Linked DNA regions of Diceros bicornis minor. The protein of the gene in region 3 interacts with the protein of the main gene of each other region in a biochemical or structural test. Links are inferred from orthologs where the notes say so. Each region holds a gene or a part of one and is shown on either strand. Other genes may lie near its edges. The genes, in order: RAD9A, ATRIP and TOPBP1.

Evidence for each region.
Region 1: the proteins of TOPBP1 (region 3) and RAD9A form a complex in vitro, tested with the Homo sapiens proteins (4 studies listed by BioGRID). The link is inferred for Diceros bicornis minor from reciprocal best matches to the Homo sapiens genes TOPBP1 and RAD9A.
Region 2: the proteins of TOPBP1 (region 3) and ATRIP form a complex in vitro, tested with the Homo sapiens proteins (2 studies listed by BioGRID). The link is inferred for Diceros bicornis minor from reciprocal best matches to the Homo sapiens genes TOPBP1 and ATRIP.

Annotation. Positions count from the first base shown.
Region 1 is NC_080770.1:6,136,304-6,146,875, reverse strand, and holds the start of RAD9A (cell cycle checkpoint control protein RAD9A), read left to right. Parts: upstream 1-5,683; 5' UTR 5,684-5,803; coding exon 5,804-5,837; intron 5,838-5,930; coding exon 5,931-6,001; intron 6,002-6,456; coding exon 6,457-6,585; intron 6,586-7,013; coding exon 7,014-7,128; intron 7,129-7,215; coding exon 7,216-7,315; intron 7,316-9,205; coding exon 9,206-9,315; intron 9,316-9,412; coding exon 9,413-9,522; intron 9,523-9,601; coding exon 9,602-9,666; intron 9,667-9,757; coding exon 9,758-9,895; intron 9,896-10,572. UniProt on the Homo sapiens protein: Component of the 9-1-1 cell-cycle checkpoint response complex that plays a major role in DNA repair. The 9-1-1 complex is recruited to DNA lesion upon damage by the RAD17-replication factor C (RFC) clamp loader complex.
Region 2 is NC_080741.1:49,798,542-49,809,045, forward strand, and holds the start of ATRIP (ATR-interacting protein), read left to right. Parts: upstream 1-6,247; 5' UTR 6,248-6,322; coding exon 6,323-6,569; intron 6,570-8,454; coding exon 8,455-8,585; intron 8,586-9,667; coding exon 9,668-9,838; intron 9,839-10,504. UniProt on the Homo sapiens protein: Required for checkpoint signaling after DNA damage. Required for ATR expression, possibly by stabilizing the protein.
Region 3 is NC_080741.1:18,704,979-18,715,421, forward strand, and holds the start of TOPBP1 (DNA topoisomerase 2-binding protein 1), read left to right. Parts: upstream 1-6,215; 5' UTR 6,216-6,305; intron 6,306-6,924; 5' UTR 6,925-6,931; coding exon 6,932-7,015; intron 7,016-8,982; coding exon 8,983-9,117; intron 9,118-9,625; exon of another isoform or gene 9,626-9,755; intron 9,756-10,443. UniProt on the Homo sapiens protein: Scaffold protein that acts as a key protein-protein adapter in DNA replication and DNA repair. Composed of multiple BRCT domains, which specifically recognize and bind phosphorylated proteins, bringing proteins together into functional combinations.

The DNA.
Region 1 (10,572 bases), on a different chromosome or scaffold from region 3:
ACCTCCCTGCTGCCTTCCCCACAGGCCAGCAGGCCCCAACAGCCCCCTTCCCCTAACCCATGAATGGAGCTGTCATCCACGGATTTATCTAAACCTTTTGTGAAGCTATTTATATTTCCAGCTGAGACCACATCTTGGGGTAATGAGTTCCATCGGTGTCCCCCCCGCTGGGTGAAGCACGCTGCCTTTGATTTGCCCTAAACTTACCTCACTCACGCTCCAAGGGGGCCCTGTCACTCCAGCATGCCAGGTTGTGGCGAACAAGCCTGAGCTTCCCCCTTCCCATCCCTGCTGTGGGTTTAAAAAATTCCATCCCATTTCCCCTCCACCTCCAACCCTGAGATTGAAGAGACCTGGTCTCATCTGTGCACGGAGCCTGGCAGCGCAGGCACAGCCATTACCTCATGCCAGCCTCCGGCAGCTTGCGAGGACGGCAAGGACTCACCTTCTCCTCACGAGGCAGAGGGCACTGAGGGCCCAGAATTGAGGCACGGGCTCGCGGCAGCAGCCGCAGCTTCCCCCACACCTCTTCTGGGGGCTGACTTCTGCCCCCACCTGAGTCCTCGGAGTACTTTCCAGTCCCTGGCTTCAGCCCTTTTCTCGGTAATGTTTCTCTGGGGGGATTTTCCTCCCGGGTTCCTGATGTGGATTCACCCTGGCTTCGTCCACACTGATGATTTATTTTGACCCCGGTCCTGACCTTAGAATACTGTGAGGGTTCTCTCCAGAGATGGAGGACGGAGGTGGTAGGACAGCAATAACAAGAACAACACTGACAGTGTGTACAAGAGCTTTACAGACATCACCTGAGTTAATCCTCACAACAGCCCTGTGAGGTAGGGACCGTTATTACCGCTCCCCCAGTTTACAGATGAGGAAACTGAGGCTCAGGGAATACAAGCAGCGTGTCCACTTGCACAGAACCTGGAAGTGATGGAGCCAGGATTCAGACCTGGGCAGGCTGGTGCCCAGAACCCCACTGTCCACCTCAACAGACAACCTGAGTTCAAGTCTTGGAACCTCTCTGAATCTTATACTCCTCAGTCTTTCCACATATGCCTATGAAACCACTGCTATGTGCCAAGCTTCTTCTGGTTGCTGGGAGAAATGCCGGGGAACGGGAGAGCCCTGGGCGGGGCTTGCCTGTGTGGGCTGGTGGCACCTGGTGTGCCACAAATGCATTACAGGTGGGCAAGTAGGTAACCTCACCTGCTTGGTTACCCCAGAGTAACCCACAAACACCATTCTCTGTGTGTGCACAGCACAGCAGACTCCCATTGGAGCCTTGGCACAGGCCACTCCCTCTGGTCTGTCTCTCTCCCCTAGTGGAAGCCACGAGAACAGAGATTTTTGTCTTGTACTCTCTTTCCCGAACTTAGAAAAGTGTGTCTAATATGTGTTGAATGAATGAATTACTGAGCTCTAGGGATTCCTGTGACTTCAAAACTAACCAGTTGGGTGAGAAATAATGGCTGAAAGGAAGAAATTTCCTGGCAGATAATTATGTTAAGAGTTTGAAATGGTAACCCCCTTCTTCTGTTCCCTATCTGCCCCCTGCACACATTCACACATTCCCACATGCTTACATCCTCATGCGCTTGTAGGAGGCCACCTCTAATGTGGGTGTGGCGCAGACTGTAAGAACTTGGGGTAAGAACCTGAAGGAGCCTCTCATCCAACCCCCTCATTTTGTCAAGGAGGAAACTGAAGCTCAGAGAAGGGCCTGGACTTGCTTGAGGCTTACTGTGAGTAGGGCTAGAGCCACACCCAGGTCTCCTGACTTCTGGCACAGACCCCATATCGTCTTTGGGTCCCTATACCTATCCCTCACCTAACACAGCGTTCCTGACAGTTGAGAGGCCCCCTTCCCCCACTGCGTGTCCTCCCTTCTGGCCCTGAAAGGTGTTATTGGCTGTGCCAGCTGCAAGCCTGGGGAGGCTACTTGCCCTGATTGGAGAGCTCCCTTCCAGCCCACAGCCTGGGGGAAGCAGGACGGCCAATTACAGCTCCTCTCCAGAGCTGTGGCCAGATGAGGGGCACAGGGAAACCGGAAGGCCCCTTTGGGATCACAGCGTGTCAAGGGTGGAAGGGACCTCAATGTGCATCTCATGCCACCAACCACATTATACAGACAAGGAAACAACTGCAGAGACAGGGAGGGACTTGCACAAAGTCACACAGCGAGTCAGTGTTGAAGCACAGGCTGGAAACCCAGGACTCCTGATTCCCAGCTTTAGACTCCCTTCCAGTGTCCGAGGCCTTCCGAAGGGTCAGGTGATTCCCCACTTTTGGCAGGTGTGGGTGTGTGACTGAAGAAAGACGTTAAAAGTCCTACAGAGGGCCGGCCCTGTGGCTTGGTGGTTAAGTGCGCGCGCTGCGATGCTGGTGGCCCGGGTTCGGATCCCGGGTGCGCATCGAGGCACCACTTCTCCGTCCATCCTGAGGCTGAGTCCCACATACAGCAACTAGAAGGATGTGCAGCTATGACATACAACTATCTACTGGGGCTTTGGGGGGAAAAAATAAAATAAATAAAATCTTTAAAAAAAAAAAAAAAAGTCCTACAGAGGGCCGGCCCCATAGCTTATCAGTTAAGTGCATGAGCTCCGCTGCTGGCGGCCCAGGTTCGGATCCCGGGCACGCACCGACGCAGCGCTTCTCCGGCCATGCTGAGGCCGCGTCCCACATACAGCAACTAGAAGGATGTGCCACTATGACATACAACTATCTACTGGGGCTTTGGGGGAAAAAAAGGAGGAGGATTGGCAATAGATGTTAGCTCAGAGCCAGTCTTCCTCAGCAAAAAAAGGAGCATTAGCATGGATGTTAGCTCAGGGCTGATCTTCCTTACAAAAAAAAAAAAAAGTCCTACAGAGTCATGTCTCCCTCTCCCTCTCCCCAGGGCCTTGTTCCAAAGACCTCAGGGCCACAGGACCCTACAGCCCCACAGGGGTCAGGGCAGAGGCGTGACTGTGTGGTTATTCACGGCTTCCCCTCGTGCCTTCCAGGGAGCTTTGGTGTCTTATCTCCCGTTCCAGTTGCTCAGGTAATGGCGTGGGGCAGAGGTGGAGAAGCTGGGAAGGCTATGCTGATTTACACCGGCAGAAAAAGACAGGGAGAGAGATCCGGAGAGGAGGAGGAAAGGTAAGGACGAGAACAGCTCATGCTAGGTTCCTTTGTTTTTTTGACAGACTTGGGGGGGACAGCTATTGTCCAGGGAAGGGTGGCACTGTGGGCAGAGGCCGGAAGTTAGATTTGTTTCTTTCATCACCACACCATGCTAAGAGTGACTTAGAGGCAACTCAGCTTCATTTGGATCGCACACTTGTTCACTGAACACATACTTATTGATCATCTACCGAGGGCCAGGCCCTGTGTGGGGCCAGGCCCTGTGCGAGGCACAGGGGTACAGCAACAAAAGACACGGTCCCTGCCCTCACGTTGCTGACATACCAGTGAGGAAGACAGACATTAAATAAGTAGACACATGTATGAAATAACATTGAGTTGTGATAAGTGTTGTGTTAACATAGCAAGGGCTCAGCTGGAGAGTCGGAGGAGGGGGGATGGGGGGCAGACAAGGCCCATCTGAGGATGGGCAGCTGAAGCTGAGCCCTGAGGAAGAGAAGGAGCCAGCAAGTGGCGAGGCTGGGGGTGGGAGGGCGGCGTGAAGAGCATTCCAAGTGGTGGGAACAGCACAGAGATCCCAAGAGTGGAAAAGGATGTGGTGGGTTCAGGAAACTGACAGGGCCAGCTGGCTGCAGAGGAAGGCCAGAGACAGGTGGAGAGATGGGTGGGCCGGCTCCTGAAGGTTCAGGGTAAGGAGTCTGGATTTTATGGCAAGTGTAGTATGTGGCAACCACTGGAAGATCTAAACAAGGGAGAGGCGTGACACGATTGATGTTTTAGGAAGGTCACTTTGGTGCTGTATAGAGAGGGGACTGGAGGGGACAGGCTGCAGGCAGGAGACCCCTCAGAGAGCTCTTACAGTCGTCCATGTGAGAGATGACGGTGGCCTGAGCCAGGGTGTCAGTTGTGGAGATGGAAGAGGAGGGCAAAGTTGCCCTCTGTTTGGAAGGGGAGCAGTCAAGACTTGAGGAAGGATTGTAGTATGTGGGGTGAGGGAGAGGGTGGTGTCAAGGATGACTCCCAGTTTACTGATCTAAATGCTGGGCAGAGGTGGTGTCATTTGCACTGATCTTCCTCCCCGGAAGGGGGAAGGGAACAATAACCTCCCTCCTCACCCCCCCCCCCGGCCCCCACCCCAGTGCTCTAGAGAAGGGCCAGGCTGGAGAGCGAGGGGAGCTGAGGGCAAGAAGGAGTAACAAAGTAGGGTTCAGAATTGCAGGCCAGGGGGCTGGCCCCGCAGTGCAGCAGTTAAGTGCTCACACACATTCCACTCCCGCGGCCCAGGGTTCGTATCCCAGGTGCGCACCCACGCACTGCTTGTCAGCCCATGCTGTGGCAGCATCCCGTATAAAGTAGAGGAAGATGGGCACGGACGTTAGCCCAGGGCCCATCTTTCTCAACAAAAAAGAGGAGGATTGGCATCGGATGTTAGCTCAGGGCTGATTTTCCTCACACACACACACACACACACACACACACACACACACACACACAAATTGCAGGCCAGGAGCAGGAGAGCCAGGGACCCACAAATATGGCCTACTCCCCCCAGAGGGCCCCCCAGGAGCAAGACCAGGCCAGCCCTAAAGGAACGCAGGGATGCCCAGGGCCCTTCACAGAACCTTGGTGCTGCGGGCAACTAGAGGTCAGAGAGTCCCTGCAGGGCATTCTCTCCCACCTTACACACGTGGGGACCGAGGCCCTGGGCAAAGGGAAGACCTCCCTGCTGATGAACCCTTCCTTTTGCACAATCCAGGAGTCTTTTTTAAATGGCCCCATAAGCACGACACTACCCTCGTAAAAAAAAGTTTCCAGCGCTCCCCAGTACTGCCCCTCAACATTTGGCAGCCCCCACACCTCTGCGAGGCTCTAAGACCCACTTCTCCGTCCTCCGGGCAAAGCCCCACCACCGCTGAGCCTTTACTCTCGCTCTTCCTCTGCTAGGTACCCGCTTCCATCCTCTTCCACACAGAGAATATTTTGTTCTTCAAGGATCGATGAAGGATCCTGGAAGCCAGAATGAAGAACCACGTCCCACCCCGGGATCCGGTAGCCCGTTGCTTTAATCTCTTTTTAGCGCTGGTGGGTGCTGCTTGTGTCCGAGTCCCCGGCCCGGTCTCGGTGCGGACGATCTGGCTTCGACCCGGTATCCCCGACAACGCCCAGGAAATCCGTACTAAATCAGTGACCTAGGTGTGCTGGCCCGCACATCTCAGGCCTCCGAGCCCGGGGCTCGCTCCCCCGCACCGGGCACCTCGTGTCCTGGGGCCGCGTCCTCCATGCTCCTCGCGTTCGGGTGCGCAGCCGCGGGCGCGGCCAAACGACCCGGTCCCCAGGGGCGCGGGAGGCCGGGGGTGCGCCTGGACTGCAGGAAGCAGCAGGCACCGCCACCGCCGGGCGCTCCTCGCTCACGTGACCAAAGCCCGCCCCGGCACCGACTCCGTCACGTGACTGCGGAGCCGGCGAGCGTTTTCTCACGTGACGGAGGCGCGGGTGTGTGGACCAATGAGGATGCGGGGGCGGGCCCGTCGGGGGCGGTGCGCGCGAAGGGAACCCTGGCATCAGCGGCTGGCGGCCGGGAGACCCGGAGGCAGGCAGCGAGTCAGAGCCCGTTTGGGGGCCAGCCGCCAGTCTAGCCGCTGGCGGGCCAGGCCCGGGCTCGGGCTGGGGCGGCATGAAGTGTCTGGTCACGGGCGGTAACGTAAAGGGTGAGTCGGGGCTGACGGGGGGGGGGGGGGCGGGGGCACGTGGGACGGCCCGAGGCGCCAGCCTAACCCCTGTTTCTCCTCTCCTCCCCGCAGTGCTCGGCAAGGCCGTCCACTCCCTGTCCCGTATCGGGGACGAGCTCTACCTGGAGCCCCTGGAGGACGGGGTGAGAGGCTGGGGTATGGGGAGGGGTGAGATTACGACGGGGAGCCCTAACCTGGGCGAGTCTCGCCTCCCGTGGGCAGATTTGTCTGCTGAGTTTCAGTTTCCTCCCCGCCGTCACTGGGGCTTCAGTTTGGGTCCTGTCATCTTCCCAGGCCAGTGTGTGAATTGAGAGCGGTTGCCCTCCCTGCAATGCCCAGTGGCGGGTGGGGTGACTTGGGGAAAAAGTGAGTGTGCTGACGGCTGGGTAGGGCCCTTGGCTGTGGGAGCAGTGCTCAGGCGGACTCAGGGAAGACTTCGTGGAGAAGGTACTCACTGACTGGAAGGAGAGGGAGGATTTCTACAGGTGATGGTGGAGGTGGAGGACATTAGGGCAAGTGTGTGAGCAAAAGTGGGCCAGAGGGCTGGGCCTGTCGCTGCCCACTGACTGCATCCCTCTCCCTGCTTCTCCTGGCCCAGCTCTCCCTTCGGACTGTCAACTCCTCCCGCTCCGCATATGCCTGCTTCCTCTTTGCCCCGCTCTTCTTCCAGCAATACCAGGCGGCCACCCCTGGTCAGGACCCCCTGCGCTGTAAGATCCTGATGAAGGTGAGGCCCTTCCCTCACCTGCACAATGCCCCCCCACCGTCCCATCGAACCTCCACCAGCAGTATGTCTGCTCTGGGGCACTGAGTAATTGCTGACTGGGGAGAGAGACTATGCAGAAGCCATCCAGTGCAAAATGCAGTGAAGGGCATGATGAAGACACCAACAGAGGGTAATGGGAGATATGGAGGAGGGGATTGATCCTGCCAGGGACCTGGAGAGAGTGGTAACATTCAAGCATGTCTTTCAAGGCATTCCAGACAGGGGGAACAGCATGAGCAAGGGCCTGGAAGCGTGTAAACATTCTGCATGTTGTGGGAGCTCCTTTCCTGGTGTGACAGTGCTGAGCCGTGGTGGGCCAGGGCCTGCAGGGGACATGAGAGCTGGTTGGTGCAGGTGCAGCGCTGGGCTAATATGTTTCCCCCACTCAGTCGTTCCTGTCCGTCTTTCGCTCTCTGACAATGCTGGAGAAGACCGTGGAGAAATGCTGCATCTCCCTGAATAGCAGGAGCAGCCGCCTGGTGGTCCAGCTGCACTGCAAATATGGTGAGTAGGCAGCTGGCTGGCCAGGGAGTCCCTAGCTGTGGGGGTGGAGGTTGGCAAGGCCCACTGAGACCCTCTCTGCCCATCCAGGGGTGAGGAAGACTCACAACCTGTCCTTCCAGGACTGCGAGTCCCTGCAGGCTGTCTTCGACCCAGCCTTGTGCCCCCATGTGCTCCGTGCCCCAGCCAGGTGAGCACGCCCCCTGGCCGCAAGCTCAGCCCTGGGTCTCTCTTTTCCTTCTTTGGGGCCTCAAGGGCCCATTTAAGAAAGCACCTCTTCCATTTTCCCTACAGGGTGTCTGTGAACCTCAAAGAGTTCATCCAGCTCAGTTGGCTCTCAGGTCCTTGTCTGGCTCTTTAAGGGCAGAGGCTAGAGTGGAGGAGGGGCAGGATGCTCCCTTGCTCCACGTTCCTCACTGTCTTTAGGAGCCTGTATTCTCTACCTCAGAGGTCCAGCTTGGCTTTCTGGTCGCTCAGACCCATTCTGACTTCTCTTTTAGACAGGAGGTCTCTGGCCTGAGCAGCCTTGAAAGTCCCTAATTAATCTTTGTGGCTCAGGGGCTCAAAACTCTTCTCTGGCCTGGTCATCCTTCTGGGAATGTTCCCCATTCAAGGGCAGCCTCTCTTCCTACCTGCCCGGGCTCTAGCCTTGAGAAGTCCCCAGGCCAAGGCAGGAGGCTGGGTGGGGAGGTTGTCGTCCAGGAGGGCCGCCTGAACAAGCAGCCACAAGTAGGGTGGACGCGTTCTGGGCAGTCCGAGCACCTAGAGGCCCAGGAGGTGGGGCCTTCAATGGAGACAAAGGTCCCTGATGAAGACCAGCACAGGGAGGAATGGCTCCCCTCCTGCCCCATGCTGGACGCTGCTTGCATTTAAGTAGCCCCAAGTCTTGTTTGTTTCTTTTGGTAGCCGTAGGACATGATAACCTGAAGGTCCCTTTGGGTCCTGACAGTCTGTTTTTCTGAGTTCTATTGAGATGGCACTGCTCAAGATTCCTTTGGGTAAAGAAAGAGGGAAGGCTCTTACCTCTAGTCTGGATTTTGAGGCTTTTTTTTCTCTCTTTTTTTTAATGAGCAATTGTTTCTCTCTCTCTCTTTTTTTTTTTTTTTTTTTTTTTTTGCTGAGGAGGATTAGCCCTGAGCTAACATCTATTGCCAGTCTTCCTCGTTTTTCGCTTGAGAGAGATCGGCCCTGAGCTAACATCTGTGCCAGTCTTCCTCTGCTTTATATATGGGATGCTGTCGCCGCATGGCTGACAAGTGTTGTAGGCCCACGCCCAGGATCTGAACCCGTGAACCTGGGCCACTGAAGCAGAACGTGCTGAACTTAACCACTATGTCATGGGGCTGGCCCCTGTTCCTCTTTTTCTTATGGACAATTTCAAATACATATAAAAGCAGATGCCAGCTCCTGTTCCAATTACTTTGAGGCAAATTCCAGATGTTACTTCATCTGTTAATATTTGTCAATTTATTTCCCTAAAAGACGAGGATTTCAGGGCTCTTTCTGAAGGCCCAGTTTATAGGGACAGCGTGACTGTGGTTTCCCACCCTTGGATGGGCAGGTGCTGCCTGCCTGGTTTGGTTGGGTGCAAACAGCCCATCCTTGCTGCTGCCTTCTCTGGGCTCCACTCTTGTCTGCCCCATCCCTTGCAGTGGACTTCTCTCCCAAGACAGCCCGGGAGCTTTTGATGGGGCAGGGACCCTGTCCTGCTCACCTGGTCCTCCTCCCTGGGGGCATGCTAGGCCTGGCCCGCAGAGGTTCTCCTGGGATGCTGGTGTGTGTTCGCTGCCCTGCCTTAGATCCTCTGAGAGCAAACCCACTGAGGGGGGCTGAGCCTTGGGTGTACAGTCATGCATCGCTTAATGACGGGGATATATTCTGAGACATGCGTCCTTAGGCGGGTTTGTCATTGTGTAAACATCATAGAGTGTGCTTACACAAACCTAGATGGTAGAGCCTACTACGCACCTGGGCTGTATGGTACTAATCTTATGGGACCACCATCATATATGCGGTCCATCATGACTGACTAAGATGTCACTGTGCAGTGCATGACTGTAATGCTGTGCCCTCCTCACAGGGTCCTAGGGGAGGCTGTTCTGCCCTTCCCCCCTGCACTGGCTGAAGTGACGCTGGGCATTGGCCGTGGCCGCAGGGTCATCCTGCGTAGCTACCAGGAGGAGGAGGCAGGTAAGGGAGCGGGACACAGCCTGGGACAGGGAGCAGAGCTGGGGTGGGAGGGGGTGAGGCCCAGAGGCCCAGGTTCCTTCTGTTCCTGCCCCCACAGACAGCACCGTCAAAGCCATGGTGACTGAGATGAGCATTGGGGAGGAGGATTTCCAGCAGCTGCAGGCCCAAGAAGGCGTGGCCATCACTTTCTGTCTCAAGGAATTCCGGGTGAGGATCCCCACACCCACTTACCACCCTGTCCTCCCTGTCCTGCCCAGGGCCTCACTCTCTGCCTCTGCTCCCCCAGGGGCTCCTGAGCTTCGCAGAGCCAGCAAACTTGTCTCTTAGCATTCACTTCGATGCTCCCGGCAGGTAATTCCCAGCCTTGGGACAGGGAGGGGAGGACCCTCGGGTGCCAGGAGCCGAAGGGCCCTGACCTCGCAGGGACCCATCACCTGCCCAGGCCAGCCATCTTTGCCGTTGAGGACTCTCTGCTGAACGGCCACTTTGTCCTGGCCACCCTCTCGGAGCCATACCCGCACTCCCAGGACCTGCGCTCCCCAGAGCCCTGCCGGCCAGCGCCTCAGCTCCAGGCCCACAGGTGAGGGCGCCTCGACCTCTGGGCACCCTGGCCTGAGCCTGCTGCTTCCAGTGTCTGCACCTCCCCACCCCCCACACTTCCTGTCAGGCCCCAGCCCCTCCAGTGCTCACAGCTTCCAGAGCTTCCAGCCCGCAGGCCCAGCCTTCCGGGTCAGCTGTGTTCGGAGAACCCTCCCACCCAGGGAAGTGTCCCCAAGGTGGGACTGGCTTCCTTCTCTGGCTGAGGCCTCCCCTTCGAGCCTCCCCCAAGGCCAAGGAGGGAAAGGGCTGCCTGGAGGCAGGGGGCTGCTTGGGGTGCGGGAAACAGGTGGCTGGAAGGGCAGGTGGGTTGGGGAGGATGGGCCCAGTGTAGTTTAAGCAGAGGAAGTTTGGTCTGGCCCCCCGCCCAGCATGTCCCTGGGCCCCAGTGCTCTCCAGCTCCTGTCCCCTGGGAAGGTGGGGGCTTGGGCCCCAGGTGGCCCAGCTCACAGGACTTGCTGCTCCCCTCCCCGAGCTGAGCTAAACCTGACCCCAGGATGCCTCCCTCAGGCCCCTACCTGAACTCTGATCAAACAGATTCCAGGCCCACTCCCTCCAGGAAGCCCACCCCCTCCAGGAAGCCGCCACTTAACCCCTGCATCCCCTCCCCTCCAACTAAATCAAGAATAAAACAGAGAGATCACCAGCGGTCACGAGGCC
Region 2 (10,504 bases), about 31 Mb from region 3:
GCAATGGTTCCCCATTTCTCTCAAGGGAAAAGCTAAAATCCTCTCCACGGCCTACAGGGCATCCATCTCCTGGCTCTCATTCTTCTCGGACCTCTTCTCCCACTAGTCTCAGTTTCCTCACTCTGCTCCAGTCAAGTGGACCTTTTTTTCCCCAGCTTTATTGAGATATAATTGACATATACCATTGTATAAGTTTAAGGTGTACAATGGAATGATTTGATAGACATATGTATTGCAAAACGTTTACCACAATAAGGTTAGCTAACACCTCTCCTCACATAATTACCATGCATGGACCTTCTTGATATTGCTGGAACACACTAGTCTCTCTCACCTCAGGGCCTTCATGCCAGCCGTTGGCTATCTGTGTACTGTTTGCTCCCTCCCCTTGATTTCAAGTCCTGCTCAAGTGTCATTGTCATCCACCCCATCACTCCTTACCCATTTTGTCTGCTTTATTTTTCTCCCCGCACATATCACATGACCTGCGATATGTATTTCACTTATTTACTTGCTTATAGTCTGTCTCACCCACTAGAACGTCCACTCTGCCAGGGCAGGCACTGTTTTGTTCACTGCTGCATCCTCAGTGCCTAGATGCACATAGTACATACTCAACAAAAATGTATTGGATGAATAAACAGAATTTGCCAAAGTCGCACCAGGACTATATTACAGAACCCAACTCCTTCCGGTGGCCTCCAAAGCTCTAGGACCAGGTAATCTGGCCCCCTCCCACTTCTGCCACCTCCCTCGCATCTCGCTCCAGCCACGCTGTGCATTCCTCGGTTCCAGGAACACGCCAAGCTTCAAGGCCTTTGCACCTGCCCTTTCCTCTAGCCCCACTGCTTTCCCCGTGCACGGTCCCAGACCTGGCACCCCTCCTGGCTTCCACCCCCTCCTCCCCCACCGCAGCCCCGGCAGGACGACCCTCCCCCTCATACCTGGCGCGCCTAGCGCTGAAGCCGCAACCCTACGGAGCACCCGCCACTCAGTTGATCTCTGACCCTCTAGGGCCCGCCTTCGGAGGGCCGCTTCCGGCAATGGGAGAGCAACTTCCGGACTGGGAGCCAATCAGCGGGCCCGCGTGGAGGTATAGGCGCGGGGGTGGGACAGGGAGCTCCGCTTCGGGTGGCAGAGTCTGGGGAAGGCGCGGCAGGCGCCATGTCCGGCCGCGAAGGTGAGTGTGCGAGGACGACGTGGTGGGGCAGAAAGGGGCGGGAGCCGGCGGGCGCCGGGCTGAGCGTGCTCGTGTCGCCCACAGGTGGCAAGAAGAAGCCTCTGAAGCAGCCCAAGAAGCAGGCCAAGGAGATGGATGAGGTGAGGGCGGGCGCCGAGGCGTGGGCGGGCGCGGAGGGACTGGGAAACCCGCCTGGAGTGAACCCGCTCTGCCTCTCCGTAGGAAGATAAGGCATTCAAGCAGAAACAGAAGGAGGAGCAGAAGAAACTCGAGGAGCTAAAAGCGAAGGCGGCGGGGAAGGGCCCCCTGGGTGAGTGAGGGCCGGGTAGAGCTCAAGCTGGACAAACGTTCCGAGCATCAGTCTGGACGCGGGCCCGGGCTGGTCGGTTTCCTGCCTTGTTGGTGAGTTGCGAGGTCTCGGTTCCTCGTGTCCGCTGCGGCGGACGGCCCTAGCCAGGCTTGGATTCACAGCAACAGGAAGCGGCGGGAGCAAAGGGGAAAGGAAGTCTCCTGCCTCCCAGGGAGTTTGGGCTTCCCTTCTTTAGGGAAGCGGCAGAAATGGAAATAAAAATTAATATATCTTAGGCACATTCATACAGTTGAGTTTCCAAATATCCTCCACAATTTCTTGCCCCAAATTAGTATTTCACTGCTTCTTTATTGCTTATAATATTTCTTGACTTACTAGTCGTACTGTTAACTCTAGTAAATACTTTTGCATCCTGAGTCTGCGCTTCAGGATGCACCTAGACTAAAGGTTAAGGTCCAGGCACCTTGGCGTGATTGCACTATATGCTTTTTTAATCTAATTCCTGACCATTCTGCCTCTTGTTTTTCTTTATGTAAGAGGAATTGATTACATATCAAAAGATTTTTCAGTCCCAACAGTTCCAGTACTTTCTGTGCTTCTTAAATCCTGTTTACATTCATCAAATTAGTGATTATTTCCTCCACAGTTGTCTATGCCTTATTGGATTACTGTGAGGCACACTGGGGACAATGGAGGCTGGGATGGTGTGAGTGTCATCCAGGGCTTCCCAAGACCTCTATCGCAGTGGGTTTGATTCATTATTGCTTACCCACACAGCGCTGAGATTCTAGCAATTGAGATTCCTTTTGGGAATGATGTAAGGTATCTTGTACCTCCTCTTAATTTGTGATTATGTATAGGGAGGTCAGTCCTTAGTGAAATCCTACACTACTTGATTCTCATTGAGCATCATCTAATTTTTTAAGGTTTATTTTGTCACAGCTCTTTAGGATCTTCATTCCTGTATTAGGCATACTTAACTCTACAACTATTTCTTATATTATCTACTGTGTGCAAAATATATAGTCATTTGTGAATTGGGTAAAATAAAGTATTGGCTAAACCAGACCCCAGGATTATAATATGGAAGGTAGTGTAGTGTAATGTGGTGGTTAAGAATATGGACTTCAAAGTCAGACTTCGAATCCTGGCATTGTCACATACCAGTTTATAACTTTGAACAACACCTAATGCTAAGACTTTGTTATCTGTAAAATGGGTTGATAGGGGATGAGGATTAAATGAGCCAATCTGTGAAACACACAACACAGTGTAGATCCAGACCAGTGCACAGCCATTACTTGTGCCTCTGCCTCATCCTCATTCTGCATTTGCCCAGAGTAGACAATATTGGTAAAGCCCTGTGCATGCTTGTGTCACAAAGAATGCCCAGTACAAGAGCTGAGCCTTACTGGGATTCATATCAAGCCCCTGGGGCGTCTACCATAAGAACGGTATTTTTCCCTAGCTGAGACTTTTTCCTTTTTTTTTCAGCCACAGGTGGAATTAAGAAATCGGGGAAAAAGTAAGCTGTTCCTTGTGCCTGAGGCAGTGGTGATTGTTAATTCCATTCCTGTTTAAACATCTGGATTCCCTGCCATAACATCTGTTGCCACCTATAATTAGAATGAAGTGTTGTCTTGGAGCCTGTTGTACATTTAAGAATAAATTTTGTAAAAAAAAAAAAATCATACAGTGACTCGTCTTTATTTAGTTCTTCTCACTCAGCCATTTCTACCTTAGCTGTGAGGTCAGAGTAAACCCAGCCCAGAATCCTGCCAGTGTTCTTCAGTCTTTGTTCTATCCCGAATTCTGTACCACCTGGAGTTAAACCAGCTCATTTCAAATGGCTGTTGTTTCTGTCTGGTTGTATACTCAACAGAATACATTACATGAGGTTAGTGGAAGAATTTGTACTTTGGAAAGAAACTCATCTTTCCGGCCGGCCCCATGGCTTAGCGGTTAAGTGCGCGCGCTCCACTGCTGGCGGCCCGGGTTCGGATCCCAGGCACGCACCGACGCACTGCTTCTCCAGCCATGCTGAGACTGTGTCCCACATACAGCAACTAGAAGGATGTGCAGCTATGACATACAACTATCTACTGGGGCTTTGGGGGAAAAAAAAAATTATAAAAAAAACAGAAGACCCATCTTTCTCTGTCATAACATCCATGTTGCCATTTGTTTTAATGGGATTGTTCATCTGTTCATGTAAGTCGAGTCTCCTGTGTGCAGGCTGAGCACGTACCAGTGAACAATTCCTGCTGTCAAGGAACTTCTCTATTGTGGGAGGGGAGCAGGACAAATACATATGATATGCGTTGTGAAAGGAAGAAAACTGGGGAAAGATTCCTGAAAGTCTCTAAGTACCAAGCTTACTCCAGAGCCCCCAGGTCTGCATTTCCACTAGGGCTTCAGAAAGGTCCTTGCTAGGTTCCCATGTCTTATACCCCCCATTCAACCCATCAGCAAAATTAACTCTGGCCCCTTTATTCTTCCTCCAGTACCACCACCACCACCTCCCCATTCTAACCCTAAAATCCCTCACCTGGATTATTGCAATCACATCCATACTTGTTTTCCTGCCCCTACCCTTGCCCCCCTACAGTCTAATCTTCACTCAGGACCCAGAGTGATCTTGCTAAACCATAAAGTCACTCTGTCTCTCCTTGGCTCAGAATTCTTCAGTGCCTTCTTAGAGCACAAGCCAGCGTCCCTACAAGGACCAGATCTAAGGGATCTGGATGCCACTCTCTACCCACTGATATCTTCATCCCCCTGATCCATCTTAAGCCACAGTGGCCTAGGTTCCAAGCAAGCTCCTGCTTCACTGTGTTCGCAGCAACTCTTCATTCTGCCTGTCACTCTTGTGGTAGTGGAGATTCCCTCCCTTTAGAGAACTGAAACATCACAGTAGTGAGCTTTTCTCCGACCACTCTATAAAGTGGCAGTCCCAATATTTCTTACTCCGTTTCATTTTTTTCTCCTGACATTTGTTGATTATCTACCACCCTTGACTCCAGAAGGAGTAAATTCCTGGAAAACGAGATCATCCATAATGTATGCCAAATGCACATGTATTGAAACACTTAATCCAGAGGCACAAGTCTTTGGATTTCCCCTCCAGACCCTTGATAAAATTATAGGAATAATGCTAATAATGCTAAGCTTTCTCTGAGAATGTGTTTTCAAAGGGGCTCTAGAACTAGTCTGAGATTTTGCTGAGTCAAAACTGGAAAAGATTTTGATAGATTGAAGCCTGTTTTATGACTCTAATGTACCTGATATCCACAGAGAAGAAAAAAAAAAAGCCCGCTTTGGTCCTCTCTCAGAAAGTTACACAGCCCGCAGCACCTTCTTTGGACTTTAGGTGTTCCCCGTGAGGCCTTGAAGCTGGCACCCAGCCCTAGGCTGCTGAGAACAACCTTTCTGAGAGGCAGTGCCAGCACACTGCCCCTGAGAGTAAGCTACTACTTTTTTATTTGGTGGAACCTAATCCCTCCTGACAAATGAAGTATAATCCTGTCTCTTTATAGGACCAGAGACCTGCAGCAATTAAGACTTACGCATTCAACATTTGGACAGGTATCTGAGGGAACCTACCAAATGCCTCAAAACTAAACTCAAGTATTTAAGACCCTCTAGGTCCTGACAACCATCTCCCTTTCATCTACTGCTTTCACAAACATTCATAGGACACTCACAGGCTAAGTTTGGCACTGAACATGCAAGGATGAAAAGAGTCTTGTTCCTGTTACTCTCCAACAGCCTGCTCCTGCTAACCGTCCTGCACACCACTGCTGCCGGATAAAATCCTGTCGGGCTCAAGCTCAGCTTGAATTCTTGCTCCTCTGTGAAGCTTTACCTTCTCTCTTTGCCATAGATAACTCCTATCTGGCATTTGTGTGGCCTCCACTTCGGTGTTGTATTCTTGTCTGAGTAGTCTTGTGGGCCAGCCTCCTTGCTAACTCTTGATAACTCCCACCCAACCTGCAGGACAGCCCAGGTGCCACTTCCAGGGAGACTTCTTGACCTCCTGAGCCTTACTCATTTCTGTATGACCAGCGCTTGGGACAAAAACACTCAAGGACTCTCAGAAAAATTAATGAATGAATGTTAACAGCCTAAGCAGTTAGTTCCCACCCTCCTCCAACACAGGCACGCCCTTTTCAGGATTCCCCCCACCCCCTTCTCCTTAGACCTTTCTTCCCCAGACGTACCTCAAATGTACACATTCAAAACATTTACTGTTCTCAAATCCGTGTGCTCACAACAGCTCTATTCATAATCTTCGCCCAGCCCCACTCTCTCCAAGAGAGCCTCGGGGTATGTGAGAGGTAGGTCCGGTGGGAGGAGAGCGAGGTCGCAGAGACCAAACCCCTAAGTGCTGCCTGCCTGGGTTCACGTGCGCACTTGTGAATGTCAGGGCGAACTCCTCCAGCGTGGCTGTGTACCCACGGGATGCCAGGGAGGAAGCGCAGAGCCACCTGCGCGGTGGGGTCGGTGAGCCTCAAACCCGCAGTCCTGGTATCTCAGTTCGCGCCGCCAGAGCTCCCGCCACCGACCTTCTGAGTTCCAGGCGCCGGTACCCGAACGGCGGGGCCCAGAGGGCTGGGCGCCACCGAGGACAGGCACTCAGCTGAGCACGGCGGCGCGCTCGGATGTATGTCATTCCTCCGCGCCCGCCGGCTGGCAGCTGATTGGCCCTTAGGATCGGGGGCGTGGCCCGAGCGGCTGAGGCGAGCTGCGGCGCGCGGGCGGTTGGTCCAGGTCCTCCGTCTCGCGGCGACCAGGCCGGGCTCGGTGCCTTCGAACAGTGGCTGGCGGCAGGCATGGCTGGAACCTCCGCGCCGGGTAGCAGGAGGCGGAGCGGGCCCCCGGCGCCTAGCCCTGGCCCGCCACCCAGCACCGGGCACCCTCCGAGCAAGCGGGCCCGGGGCTTCCCCGCGGCCGCCGCCCCAGACCCTGAAGACCCTTTCGGCGCGCACGGGGATTTCACCGCCGACGATCTCGAGGAGCTCGACACCCTCGCGTCACAGGCCCTGAGCCAATGCCCGGCCGCGGCTCGGAACGTGTTCAGTGAGTGCATCTCGGGGCCTTTTCCCCAGAGGGTGGTGCAGACCTCGCCAGACCCCCCTTGATGGCTGTGGCTTCGGAACCCCAGGGCGACCGTCGCCCCCGGTGTCTTGCACCCACACTGCCCCTTCACCTTTTTAAAATATATGAACAGCTTGATTTAAGCAGCGGTTGTGTCCCAAAAGGTCCTTTGATTTTGAGGAGAAATGTATCAGGAATGTCAAACAGCTGATTTGAAATATAGAAAACTAGGTTAACATTTTACTTTAGTTTCTAAAGTTTGCCACTAGGTTCTTGGTTCTAAGCCGAGATCCTTGAAACACGGCTACCACCGCCATCGGAACCATCACTGCCTGTGCATGGGGACCCATTCTCGTGACGGGTTTGGGAGGCTCTAGATCTAATGAAGATCACGCTCTCCCTTGGGCGGCATGAGCATAAGAGAGGCCTGGCAGAGGCAAGAGATGAAAGAGTCTTATTCTTTTATACAACCAATAAATTGTACTAGGTGACTAGACCTTAGGGACTGCAGCACACTTAGTAATGAATAAAAGACATAAAGCCCTTCCTTCATGGAGCTTACGTGATAGTTGGGGAATGAGTGAAGTCTTGTGGGGCTCCCAGAAAGAGAAAGGTTTTGAGAGCACCTTGCATCTCTACTTGGATGTCTCAAAAGCATCTTAAATTCCACACAATCATTTCCTGGAAATCCAGCATGTCCAGCACACTGCCTGGCAAAGCAGATATTCCGAAAACACTCATCAATGACCAAATGTTCTGCACAACAATGACTAGCCCGCTCTCCATCAGGTGGCACAAGGCAATGGCTCCGTTTCCTTGACCATACGTCTAATTCCTTTCAAAATCCTGTAACTTTACCTTCTTATTCCTTCTCTGGAATCCATCCTCTTTGCATCATCTCTACCATATCTCTGATCTATGTCACCATTGCCCCTCCTCTGGACAACAGTCTGGACAACTCCTTGTCTCCCTGTTTCCAGTCTTGACTCTCTGCAAGTTGGACTTCACACCACAGCCACAGTGATCTTTTCAAAACTCAAATTTGTCTGTGTCTCACAGATTCACGCGAGCATCCCTACTGAAAGCCTTTAATGACTTCCCACTGCTTCTAGTATAAAGATCAAAATCTTTAACATAGCCTGCGAGGCCTAGCATGGTCTGTCCCTTTCCCACTCCCTGAATTCTAGCCACACTGACTTTCCTTCATTCTTTGAATTCTCTCTGCTTCCTTACAAGACAGAAACTTTGCAAGTTGCTGTTTCTTGTACATTGAGTGTGCTTTCCATCCATTCCCCATCCCCATTCATCTGGTTAATTCCTGCTTGTTCTTCAGCTATCAGCTCAGTCATCACTTCCTTAGGGAGGCTTGCCAATCATTCACTTGGGTCAGATCCCTCTATTATAGCCTTTCCTATATTTGTTCTCCTCTGCAGCTTTTATCACAGTTGTAATTTTACATTTATTTGTATGATTATTTTTGAATGTCCTGTAAATTCCATGATTGTAAGGACTATATCCATTTTGCTCGCTATTGTACCTTTAGAGACTAAATTGTGCCTGGCATATTATAGGTACTCAATAAATATTGTTGAATAACAGATCACAGGGTTCTAACCAGTGAGATCCCCACAGCTCCTTTCAACCTTTAGACTCTTAAAATTGAGTGGGGGATGGGGTGAGGGTAGCAGGATCTGTTATTTCATAAAGATCATTTATGAGTTTAAATCATGTTCTTAGGTTGGAGATATGTATATTGCTTACTAGATCTTTCTCTAATTTGCTTTCAAGAGTGATTCTTTTCAGCATTGTCTGGCAAAGGTGGGAAAATATTGGGTCCTGAAAAGTATATGGGAACTGTTTTTTACAGATGTTCATAAGGTCCCCAGATTAGATGGGATGTCAAAAAATCCTGCAGGGAAAAACAGAGCAAGTGTTCCAGTTAAAGATAATTTTGAATTAGAGGTACTTCAGGCACAATACAAAGAACTTAAAGAAAAGGTAAGTGACTTAATTTGTGGTTTTGTAGTTACTTCATTCACTTATGCATGTATTATAAAGCATTGTACAATAAAATATATAAAAGTTTTAAAACAAGAGCCCAGATTCATCTCCATGAAATGGAGGAAGGCTGGGGAAAGAAAGCCAGAAAATTTAGGCTGAAATAAACTAAATCCTTGGTGAACATGATGTAATCTAACAGAAATCAAAATATAGTGATGCACACCTGAAATTTATATAATGTTATAAACCAGTGTTACCTCAATAAAAAAAAAAAATATATATATATATATATAAAAGAGGGGCTGGCCCAGTGGTGTAGTGGTTAAGTCCACGCGCTCCGCTTGGGTGGCCTGGGATTTGCGAGTTCGGATCCCGGGTGCAGACCTACGCACCACTCATCAAGCCACGCTGTGGCAGGCATCCCACATATAAAGTAGAGGAAGATGGGCACAGATGTTAGCTCAGGGCCAATCTTCCTCACCAAAAAGAGGAGGATTGGCAACAGACGTTAGCTCAGGGCTAATCTTCATCACCAAAAAAAAAAGAAAAGTAAATCCTGAGATTCCTAACAGCCAAGGCAAGAAAGGAAACACTGTACACCAGATCCAAAAAGAGACACAAACTTTCTGTTTTAGCACGGAGATAAATTTATAGTATATGCCTTATATAAGGAACACAACATCATAATGGTTGCTATTTTCATTAGCAGTTTTGCAAAAAAAGCAGACATCTTTCATATGACCATCTATAGGTCCCTAGGAAAACCAAGAACATAATGTGGAATTTTAGTTCTGTGAGGTGTGTGACCCAGATTTTTTAATACCTACTGGAGCCTACAGAATCTGCATGCATAAGTGACAAGTGTGTCCTTAAGCTATGTTGCTGAATATCAGCTGTCTCATGAATGGGCCTGGCAGATCATGGTGACATCTGGTTGGTAGGGGTATATTTTGAGCACTCATTGGTCTGTAGGACATGTTTCACGTGTGCTTTCTCCGTCTCCCCAGCAACATGTTGAAACAAGTACATATATAATTTTCCCTTACAAATTTGTCACAAGATTGATTTGGGATTTACAGATGAAGGCAATGGAAGACGAAGTCCTCCTTAAAAATGGAGAAATTAAAATTTTGCGGGACTCACTGCATCAGACAGAATCCATTCTAGAGGAACAGAGAAGATCCCATTTCCTTCTTGAGCAAGAAAAAACTCAAGCACTCAGTGACAAAGAAAAGGAATTCTCCAAAAAGGTGACCCAGAGCATTTGCTTTGCTTCTTACTGACATCAGCTTATCAGCTTTGTCTGCTCACTGAGTTCCTTTAGAAGCAATGACCAAAGTTGCCTGTAAATCTTCGAGGAGGTTTTCAACAGTTGTTTGTCTTAAAGACTTTCTGGTATCAGCTAATTGCATATACTTTTCTTCCAGGCTTTGCATGTGTTTTAGCAAAGGACTTAGATGAAACTCTGCTTTGCAGGTCTTGGCAGGAATAAATCACTAGCTTAGACTTTCCAGAAACAGACTTAAATTAGGGCTTTTGGGAAGATCAGAAACTCAATTCCCTAGCTTAGGCTAAAAGGAAATAAATTGGCTTCCATAACTAAATCTGGGAAAAACAGGTGTGCTGGGGCCTCCAATGACTCAAGCTGTGCCAGAACTCATCTTTATTCTCTATGCTAAAAACAGGCTCCATCCTTATGGTAGAGGATGTGTTCTCCGGAAGCTCCTGGGCTCATATTTCATGGCTCCAGAGCAGACTGAAAACTTGGGCTCCCTCATCTCAAGCTTTAAAATTCTGGGGAAGGCTCTATTTTATCTAACCCAGTCAGGTGCCTGTCCCTGAACCAGTCACTGTAACCAAAGAGATGCTATCTCCCATTCAAATCGCATAGTCAGAGGTAGGGAAATGATGTTTCT
Region 3 (10,443 bases):
CAGAAAGTCATCTCACTTCTCTGTATTACCCCGCCCCTCTTCCAGAAAGTTGGTACCTCTAGTCTCTAATGCTCTTAAATAGATGTTTTTTGGTGCTGTATCCACATCTCCTAGATGCACTCAACAGGACACAATTCCTGCAAAGCTACTTCATCACGACACAAGCACAAGTGAGGACTATGTTAGATACTAATTTTTAACCTTCATTTTTTAAGGCTCTAATATATTATTTCTGAATGAATGAATTTCACAGGTTGTTGTGCTCATTTATAACATTTCCTTCCTGCATTTATTCATACCTTTGAAAGGAAATAGGGTCTCTGAGGGCAGAGACTACATTTTTCTTGTTCAACATGTTAATCATATGTTGGAAAATAGTGCCTAGGATAACACAAGGCTCAAAAAAGTGATCATATAGATAAATAAATGATTGTTTCAAAAGTAGGTTGAGCAATCTTCTCTGCAGACCTGTGGGCAAAAACCAAATAGGGTCCAGAGATGAACATTCCTCCCAAGGTTAATGATCCACCTAAAACTAACACAGCCCAAATCTATCAGGGCCAAGGCGCCCTCTGACCTCTGAGTGGAGCAAACTTGGAAAACCTCCTATGTACAAGGACAAAGTCATATTGCAAAGGCAGGAATCCAAAGTGCTCAAGCCATCTCTGCTGCGTTGGCACAAACTCTCACAACAACAAAGCAGAAGGGTAGAAGATCGTGTTGTAGGAAACAATTTAAAGACTTTATGGCAAGAATGGTCTTTGGAAAATTAGGAGTTTGTAAATTTATCATTAACTGTGTACCAGGCATTGAGCTACGTGTTTTTCAAATATTAATTTATAATAACCCCATAGGTAAATGCTATTCTCATCCCCATTTCATACAGGAAGAAAGTGAAGCACAGAGGGGTTAAGTCACTTGCCCAAGGTCAGACAACTAGTACGTGTCAGAGCCGGCATTCCAACTAGGCAGCCTGCTTCCACAATCCATGCTCTTCTCCATGTGGCCTCTGGCATTTGTCTCTGGAGCAATTTCACTCTTTCCTCTTTCCAACGGCTTTGTGATAATAGAGACAATTTTTGAATTGGCAAAACATTTGTCCAAATCTTGCCAAGTTTGGGATTGATTAGGTTGGTACCAGCTGCCATAACAGATGAAGCTCCAGATCTCAACGGTTTAATATGATAGAAGTTGACTTTTGCTGATATAAAGCCCAATTGGCAGCAGTGATGGTGATTTGTTGGAGAGGCAGGGATGGGGAGTTCACTTTCATAGCTCTGGTCAGTCGTTTAGAGATCCAGACTAAGAGAGGCTCTGCCACTTTCAACATGTGGCTTCCTAGACTGCCCTGAGTGTTGACAGCCAGAATAAGGAAAAGTATGGAAGGTAGTATAAGAGTCCTTTTTATGGACTAGGCCTGGAAGTAATAAACATCAATTCTACCTATATTCTATTGGCCATAACTCAGTCACATGACCCCACCTAGATGCAAAGAGGATGGGAATTGGAATCCCTGTCTGGGCAACGTCTTCCCAGCAACAACATGCACTATGAAAGGGGAGCATACACCTTGGATCTTTTCTCTTAGTCTGAGTTCCCCCAGAAAACAGACTTTCAGACAAGACTTTTCAAATGTTTTATTTAGTAAGTAAAGAAACACAGGTAAGAGAATGGGGAAGTGAGACCAGGAAAATAAGGCATCCAACGGATGTATTAATAAGTCAGTTACCACGTGGAGACCAGGGCTTAATTCCACTGGGGAAACTATGTGAGCCAGGGTAGAATATCCCTCCAAGGGGCTTGCAAACAAGAGTCTTTGTACACCAACTCCTGTCAGTCACTGAGGGTTTTTTCCATGGGTCATAAGTCCTCTTGCCCTTTGGTCTACTGTGTAGGTGGCAAAGCAGACTCCTGGTGTCAGAAAATGCCTTCATGCAAAGAAACACAGGTGCTGGCAGTTGGAAGTTTCCTAACGTGTTTAAGAGTGGGAAGGTAGAGGGGATATGTGTGGGAAACTAAGGGTCTGCTACACGGTCTCTACCAGAATCCACCTTATGGTCCAGTGACATATGGACTAAAAACACAGGCTGCTGCCCACCCCTACTCCTGCCCAACTGCACACCTGATATACAATGGCGGCACAAGGACAGAATAACTACAATAAAACCCTTTCAGAAAGGAGAGGAGGGGAGACCCATAGCCATTGCTCGTCAGTACAAACCCTGAAGTCCTACTGGGCAGGCATCGGGTGGCTCCTCTGCCTGATTAGATTCAGATTCTGTTCTCTGAAAGTAGCTCCATTGCTCATTGCTCTCCGAGGTCCCTGGCACCTCTCTCTAGGAGGTTCTTCCTTTTCCATTATCCTCTGTCTCCATGTCTAGACAGGGTATGGAGGAGTCTGTTCTCCTTGGGGGCTGTATGACATTTCACCCACTTCTGACTATGCAAGCTTGAAGATTGTATCAAAGTTTGAACACTCCAGACTTCTGGTTTCTTTCATAGAGCAATTGTCTCAAAACTCCAGTAACCTTCAGATCTATTCGCTTCCAGTCAGTTTCATGTGGTAGTCGTCAACCTCTCACATATAAGACAAGGTCAAGGGCAAGGCCTGACTGATTAGACTGGTGAAGATACATGAGACACTTTTAGATTTAGATCGCTTGTTACTTCTATAGATAGCAAAAAGGAAGAAGAAGCCAAAGGTGCCAGCTCCCAGGGTCCTTGTCCCAGATACCAAAAAAGATGACACTGAAACAAAACAGGCTGTTGTGGGAAGCCCCATTGCTGAGGAGCCAAAACTAGACAGCAGCTAAGTGGTTTCATATTCTGCAGCTCTATTCTGAGGGGAGTGGTGCAGAAAGCCCGATACCTCATCAGAATCTGGGAGGCGATGAGAAACTGATGACAGCCTCCGAGGGGAGGCAGGAAGATGAGTGGGAGGTGGCCTCATAGCTAGCATCTCCTTAAAGGACCCCACTCTCTTGTGTTCCAATAGGATCACAAGGTGTTTGACTGAGGCTCAGACATGCTGCAATTCCAACCTCTGCCTACACGGATATGTGCAAGGCTGCCAGGAAGCCATGGCAGAGCTGTTCCCCTACGGTAGTAGCCACACACACAGTTCTCTCCTAGACTAATTTTCAAGACTAATTTGCTATCCTTGGCCCCATCCCTCTCTCTCTCTCAATTGATGGTGCCTACCCAGCTTGGGTGGGAGGGCCATATTCTTAACTAGATCTTTTCTACATGGATGGGTTGTAATAGACATTTGTTGCTCAAAATCTCTCTCAGACTGATCTGTTGTTTTTAGGGTCTAGATGCAGCCAGCTTTTCTAACCTTGCAAAATGCCATATTTTTGGATTTTTAAATTCCCTTTTATCTTTCGCTTGCAAACAAGCTCATTCTTCCCTGAGCTAGGCTTTCTTATAATACTGAATTAAACGCAGCCAGTAGCAACCAATATGTGCCACTTACATTCTATTTTGCCTCCTCTTCCCTGCACCTCAGAAGACTCAGTATGCCTATGTTCTATCTTCCAGGTTACTGAAGATGACAGTTTAAACAAATGTTTTGCACTGCAAAGACTATTTCTGCAGCAATAAAGATCATTTACTAATTTCATTTTTAAACTATACATCCCTTTATACATATTTATTCATTTACAGCTCTGGAAACTTAAATATAAAATCCTCAAAAATCTATTTTTAGTTTAGTTTTTAATTTTGATAAGTCTTCTCTATGTAGCAAAATATAACAGAAATAAATACTTATATTACCACCACCCATATTTTAAAAGTAACTATTTTGTGATATTTGTTTCCTGTGTTTTTTCATTCTACAAACAGATAAAGTTCCTTTTAATCCTACTCCAAGCAGGGTCTGGAGTGTTTGGTTCCAGGTGGCAGAAGTGCCAAATATTCAGGGAGGTGATCCTAAATGCCAGAGAGGTGAGGGGAAAGTTAATCCCTGAACCCCATTTTCTGAGCAGCTTCTTGACAGCACATCACAGTTATTCCTCATTTTTACCAAAATCTTCATGGACCACAACCCACGTAACCACTCTCACCCTTTCCTAAAGGACTGCGGGTCAAGTAAACCTTAATGTGCAGGAGAATCAGTTAGAGGGCTTGTTAAAACACAGGGCAGTGGCGCCACCCTCAGAGTTTCCGACTCAGTAGATCTGGGATGGGGCCCAAGAACTTTCATTTCTAACAAGTTCTCAGGTGATGCTGATGCAGCTGGTCCAGGCACTACACTGGATGGAGAACCACTGTTCTAGCTAATGCCCAAGATTAGGTACTTCGGGGACAGACACAGACTCTCTCTGCCTATGTGGAGACACAGATGGGAGAACCTGTCACCTGGTCTCCCATTCTAAAGATGAGGTCGACTCCTCTGCTATTCAAATCCAGCTGCTAAAAGCTATACGGTTGTGGGGCCGGCCCCGTGGCGTAGTGGTTAAGTGCGCACGCTCCACTGCTGGCGGCCCGGGTTCGGATCCCGGGTGTGCACCGATGCACCGCTTGTAAGGCCATGCTGTGGCGACGTCCCATATAAAGTAGAGGAAGATGGGCACGGATGTTAGCCCAGGGCCAGTCTTCCTCAGCAAAAAGAGGAGGATTGGCATGGATGTTAGATCAGGGCTGATCTTCCTCAACAACAACAAAAAAAGCTAAAGGTTGATTTCATCATCCTCCTCCTCTTCATTAGCAGCATCTCTGACTCTCCTACTCTCAAGAGACCTCTCCTCAGCCCCAGAAATGTCAGGAATGGGCTCCTGCCCCAGTGCTGACCGAGCAGAGATGGGCAGGAGCAGGTAACAAGGAGCAGTGTGGTGTCAGGAAGGGCACGGGGTTCCAGTCACGCCGCCTCTTGTCACTTCCCGGCTATGTGGCCCTGGGCAAGTCACACAGTCCCTGAGCCTACTTTCCCCATCTGCATAGCACGGGACAGTGATGCCCACATACTAGAGAGTGCTGAGTAAACGGGAATAGTGCAAGCAGGAGTCCTTTGTCAACTGTAAAGCACCCTACAAATAGTAGTTACTATTACAGCTTCACGATAAATTCGCTCCTTTACAATTAACTGTGGCATCGTCTTGTTTTTTTTACAACTTTATTTCTAAGCCTTTCCTCACCTTCTCCCCAACAACAGGCCTTTCGAGTTCCAGAGTTACTGATCTGACTCACCTTCCACGGGTGTACTCACACACTTAGACCCAAGCTGCTCATTGCCATCTGTAGGAACTAGAAAGAAAAATAAAAACAATCGAGGTACATCGCCTTAAGCTCTCACATCACTCAATCCAGAGTCATGCGCTTCTCAATCTCAAGAGTCAAAAATAAAATGAGAAGAAACACTAACTAAGCAGTTTGTCATCGGTCATCAACAAGCAAAAACTGCAGTCCCCTTTTACCTCCTCTCCCCCGATCTCTGCTATTTGAACATTAGGTTCCATCCCAGAATCTCCCCAACACTCAGGGGGAGCTACAGGGAAAGAAAATGAGAAGCTCATTGAAAGAGGCGGCATCTTGGTAAGGACCCCTTTGCACTAGGTGTGTAATTCAAGTCACCCTGACTTCTTTCTTCCCTTCAGGCCTCTTGGCTGTGGCAGCTGGTGATTATACTCCTGCTATATTGGAGGAGAAAGAACCCAGTCCGTGGAGTCAAAAAGAGGTGGATGCCATCTTAATTCTACCACTTACTGTGTGACCTGGGACACATCATTTGACTTCTCTAAGCCTCCGCTTTTACATCGGTAAAACGCTGTTTGCCTCATAGAGTTGCTCTGGATGATAACACATGGTCTCGCGCACTGCCTGGCATTCGGCAGGTGTAATAACTGAGGAAACCCTCTTCTCCCCCGGCTTTCTTTTTCCCTGCGTTGGGACCTCCTCTAAGGTACTCCTGGCCCGCGGCCCCGCCCCCTGAGCCGTGGGGCCTGGACCAATGCCCAGCGGAGCCCGGCCCGCCCTTCAACGCCCTGAGCCCCAGAGAACGCGGCCCAAGCCCCGGAGCAGCCCTCCGCCGGCTGGCACGGCACTCGCCGCCCTCACCACCTTTGCCATCCCCGGCCTCCTCCCGCAGCGGCGGTGGCGTCACTTCCGTCGGAAGAGGCGGGCACGTCCGCGCGTTGGCGCGAAAGTCGGTTCCCGGCCTCGGCTATTTCCGGGTTCTGCGCTTGCCTCGGGCCGCGGTCGCCGCCGGGGGCGGGGGTGCGCCGGGGGCGCGCCCGACCCCAGACGCCGTCCGGCGGGCCGCACTCCCGCCACCCGCCGCCCGAAGACCCCCAGGCTGCGGCGAGGTCAGTGCGGCCCGGAGCGGGACCCAGCTCCCTGCCACCACAATTGGGGGGCGCGACCCCTCCTCTGGCCCTCGGGGCACTGGTAACCGGCCCTCCGACCGGCGGGTGGGACTCGGGCGCCGGAGGGTTGTGGCTGCGGCTGGACCGAGAGCCAGGCCTCTCCCTGGGAGCTGGGGAGCCGGAGCGGCGGGCCTTTTAGGGGGCATGACCTTGCTAAGTGGCTTCCATGTTTATATTAATGTCCGTTTACCGAGGGTGGACAGGCTTCGAGGGCCGGGGAGACCCACAGGGACAGATTCGTTGTGTGTATCCTTAAGCCAAGTGCAATTGAATGTCCTTTGGCTTGGGGGCTTAGAGCCCCATAGCAAAGGCCCTCAGTGTATTCAATTTAGAGACATTAATTTCGTTCTCTGATTTGCAAAGATTGGTGTTTTCATCTTTTTCCTTGACTTTGCCCACGTTCCTGCGTTTCTTACAAACGTGGTGGACGAGTTCCTGTGCAAGGCCAGAATGTCTATCCTTAGGCATTCTTGTTTGCACAGAAGAATAGGTGCTTTAAACATGTCACTTCATATCTAATGTGTTGTCGTTCTTGTTAATGGCTCCTTTATTTTGACAGTTCAAAAATGTCCAGAAATGACAAAGAACCGTTTTTCGTGAAGTTTTTAAAGTCTTCAGACAATTCTGAATATTTTTTTAAAGCTCTTGAGGTAAGAATAGTTGGGAATGTCTTGTTTGATGCTGTGAATTCATCTTTTTTTTAGTGTTTTTTATTTATTGGGCTTTTTATTCTTAGTTTATTTTTATAATAGTTTTACTGTAGTCTACATTATTATAGCTACGTCATTGTTAACATATTTTTGAATTGATGTTAGTATATCATTATTATGTATTTTGGGGGACTTGAAATCTATTATGACATTTCTGTTGAAAGTGGCACGCCTGCTGTTCTTAAAAATTAAGTTGCTTTCTTTTGTCTACTACCCAGAGTAGACCTTCGTGTGTTGAAAAAATTTAAGTCAGTCATGTACTGGTTACACTTCATTTTCTGGTTGTTAAAAGTATGTTTCATTTTTTACAGTGTAATATGGAAGGCTGTAGGGTAGTGTAGAGCCTTGCTACTCACAGGCCTCAGCAGCATCCGCATGGCCTGAGAGTTTGTTAGAAATGCAGAATCTGGGGCCCCACCTCAGACTTAGCAATTTGAATCTGCATTTTGACAAGATCCTCAGTGTGATCCTCGGTGTACATTAAAGTTTAGGAAGTACTGTTGTAGCAGGTATTTCTTTAAAGTTCATTCATTCAGCAAGTAATTATTGAATGTCCGTGATCTGATAAGCGCTGTTCTAGTGCTTGGGATACATCAGTGATCAGAGCAGGCAAAGATCCATACTTTCTCAGAGCTTATGTTCTGTTCTAGCAAGAGGAAATAGACATTAATCAGACACGATAAATGAGTAGACTATATAGTATGTTACAAGGTGCTAAGTACTATGGGAAGAGAAAAGAGCAGAACAGGTTAAGGGGTTCTGGAGGATGTTTGTGGGGGCAGAAGGAAAAGGGAGAGAGTAATTTTAAATAGAGTGTGATCTGGATAGCGTTTATGGAGAAGATGATATTTGAGTACACTTGAAGGAGGTGAGATAGTTAGCCATGTGGATATCTAGGGAAGAAGGTTTCAGGCAGAGGGAACAACCATACACAAGCCCCTGGGAAAGTGCTTGGAGAGTCTGTCTGACGTAGTGTGGCTGTAGTGTAGTGAGCAACGGATGGGAGGAGAATATTAAGGGATGCTTCAAAGTATAAGAGTAAAGAGGCCATGTAGTCCATTGTAAGGACTTGGGCTTTTTCTTTCAGTGAGATGGAGAGCCACTGGAGGGTTTTAATCAGAGGGGTTACATGATCTGACTTAATTGTTTTAAAAAGATCATTCTAATTATTTAACATAAGGACTTCAAAATTTGTTCAGAAAACAGGTGCTTACTGAGTGCCAGGATGTGGTGGCAAACCCGCTAGACCATGAAACTGTCACTCTTATAAGTGAGAAAGGCAAACACTATTTACATAATATCAATGTTATTTTTCTTCATAAAATAGACTAGAGGGATAGGGAAAGGGTATTTCAGAAGGCATAATCAGGAAAGGCATCTCTGAGGAGGTGACATTTGAGCAGATCTGATTGAAATGAGGGACTAAGTCAGGGGAAGACCTGGGAGAGGAGTATTCCAGGCAGCAGGAGCAAGAGCAAAGCCTCTACCTGAGGTCATGCTTAGCTTGTTCCAGGCCTAGAAGAGAAGCAGGAGTGGCTAGAGAAGACTAAGCAAGAGGGATGAGCGAGTGACAGACGGTCAGGGTGGGGAGATAGGCAGGGCCCAGACTCTGTGGTCTGTAGGCCGTTGTCGGAATGTGGATTTCATTGAGTGTGGTGGGAAGCTATTGGAAGTTTTTGAGCAGAGAGTGACGTGACCTGATTACTAGCTGCTGTGTGGAAAACAGATTTAGGGCCAGGGAGAGAGAGGGAACCACTTCGGAGACGTCTGCAGAGGTCTAGGTGAGAGATGATGATAGCTTTCATAGGGAAAAGGCTGGATTTGAGATGGCGTTTGATGATAGAATTCGTAGAACTTAAATACAGGTGAATAATTTCAGGTGCATTCTTATTTCATTTTTCTTTCAGTCAATAAAAGAGTTCCAATCAGAAGAATATCTTCAGATTATTACAGAAGAAGAAGCATTGAAGATAAAGGAGAATGATCGATCACTTTATATCTGTGACCCTTTTAGTGGCATTGTCTTTGATCACCTCAAAAAGGTTTGCTAACTTTTAGTGTTTTCCTTCGGCAATCTGTTTTTTGGTTTGTTTTTGCTTCAGTGGATGTAAGTTCTTTACTGATCATGAAATATTACACATATTATGCATCCAGAGGAATCCTTTGGTTTTGGGAGATCAGAATGATATTTTTAAAGGCTAATTATGTTATAATAGGCTTTTGTTATATGTACTTTTTATATTTCAGGGGATTTAACTTCACTTAGTATAAGTGAGCTCTATAGTAATGGAGCATTTCAGTGATAGAGTTCTACTGTACTTGAATTCAGTTTGATTGGGAGATATTTCAGGGAGAAACAGTAAAGAGTAGGAAAGGCCCTCCACATAACGCTTCGTACTTAACCATCTTTCCTATGTGCTCTTGCATGCAGAATTTTAGTACCTGTACCTTGTATAGGGTCTGAAAAATTGTAAGCTAAAAGGAAGCATTTTGGGGGTGAATATTGCTAATATACCAATGAGCCATCTTATTTCTTTTTGTTGATTCTAGAGTCTACTGACTCATTACTTTTTTGATGTCTGGACAAGAGAGAAGCCTTGAAATAAAAGTAAACTGGCTGTAATTCCATCCAGATTACAAAGAAGTGATTCTTGTTTGAAGGAGACGAAAACATAGAAGAGTAGGTAGATGCAGTATCTGTACAATTTATGGAAGGTCTGTGCCCACCTTAGCCAAAAGCATTGCTAGTCTCACCCTCCTGTTGGAAATAACATGTTTTGTCAGAATGAATAGCATCAAAAACTCAGTTTTTTTATGGCTGATCAAAAAAATAGCAGTAATCATTTACCCTGTAAATATTTAAATCAGTCATGCCCTGGTGACTTTGGCAACTATAGACTTTTTAGTCTGGCTTGAATGTGCTGACGATGAGCAAGACTGTCATCTTTCTTAACTCAATTATCAATGAAAATGAGAAGTCATTTTTTGAGTAACCTGCAATATCTTAGGAGAAGTCTTTGTGGATCTTGCTTGGAAAGACATTAAGTTGCAGACAAAGTTTTTAAAACACAAATGTAGAAACTGCGTAGGATTATGTATTTTTTTGTGACATAAGTATTTTAGAGGAGGGTTATTTAGTCTCCTATACTTTTAAACTGCTTCATTGGCTGGGTGCTTCATTTGAAAAGTATTATGGATATTTGCTAATTATTATAGCATAAGACTATTACTCATATCCTCTGTTATTAAGAATGTGTTTCAGAGATTAAAATTTTGATGGCAACTTTGAGTGAGTGTGGCTCTTGAAGCTTATTTCTTTTGATAACCTGCATTGTTTTATTAGCTTTTGTGTGTATTTATTTAATGTG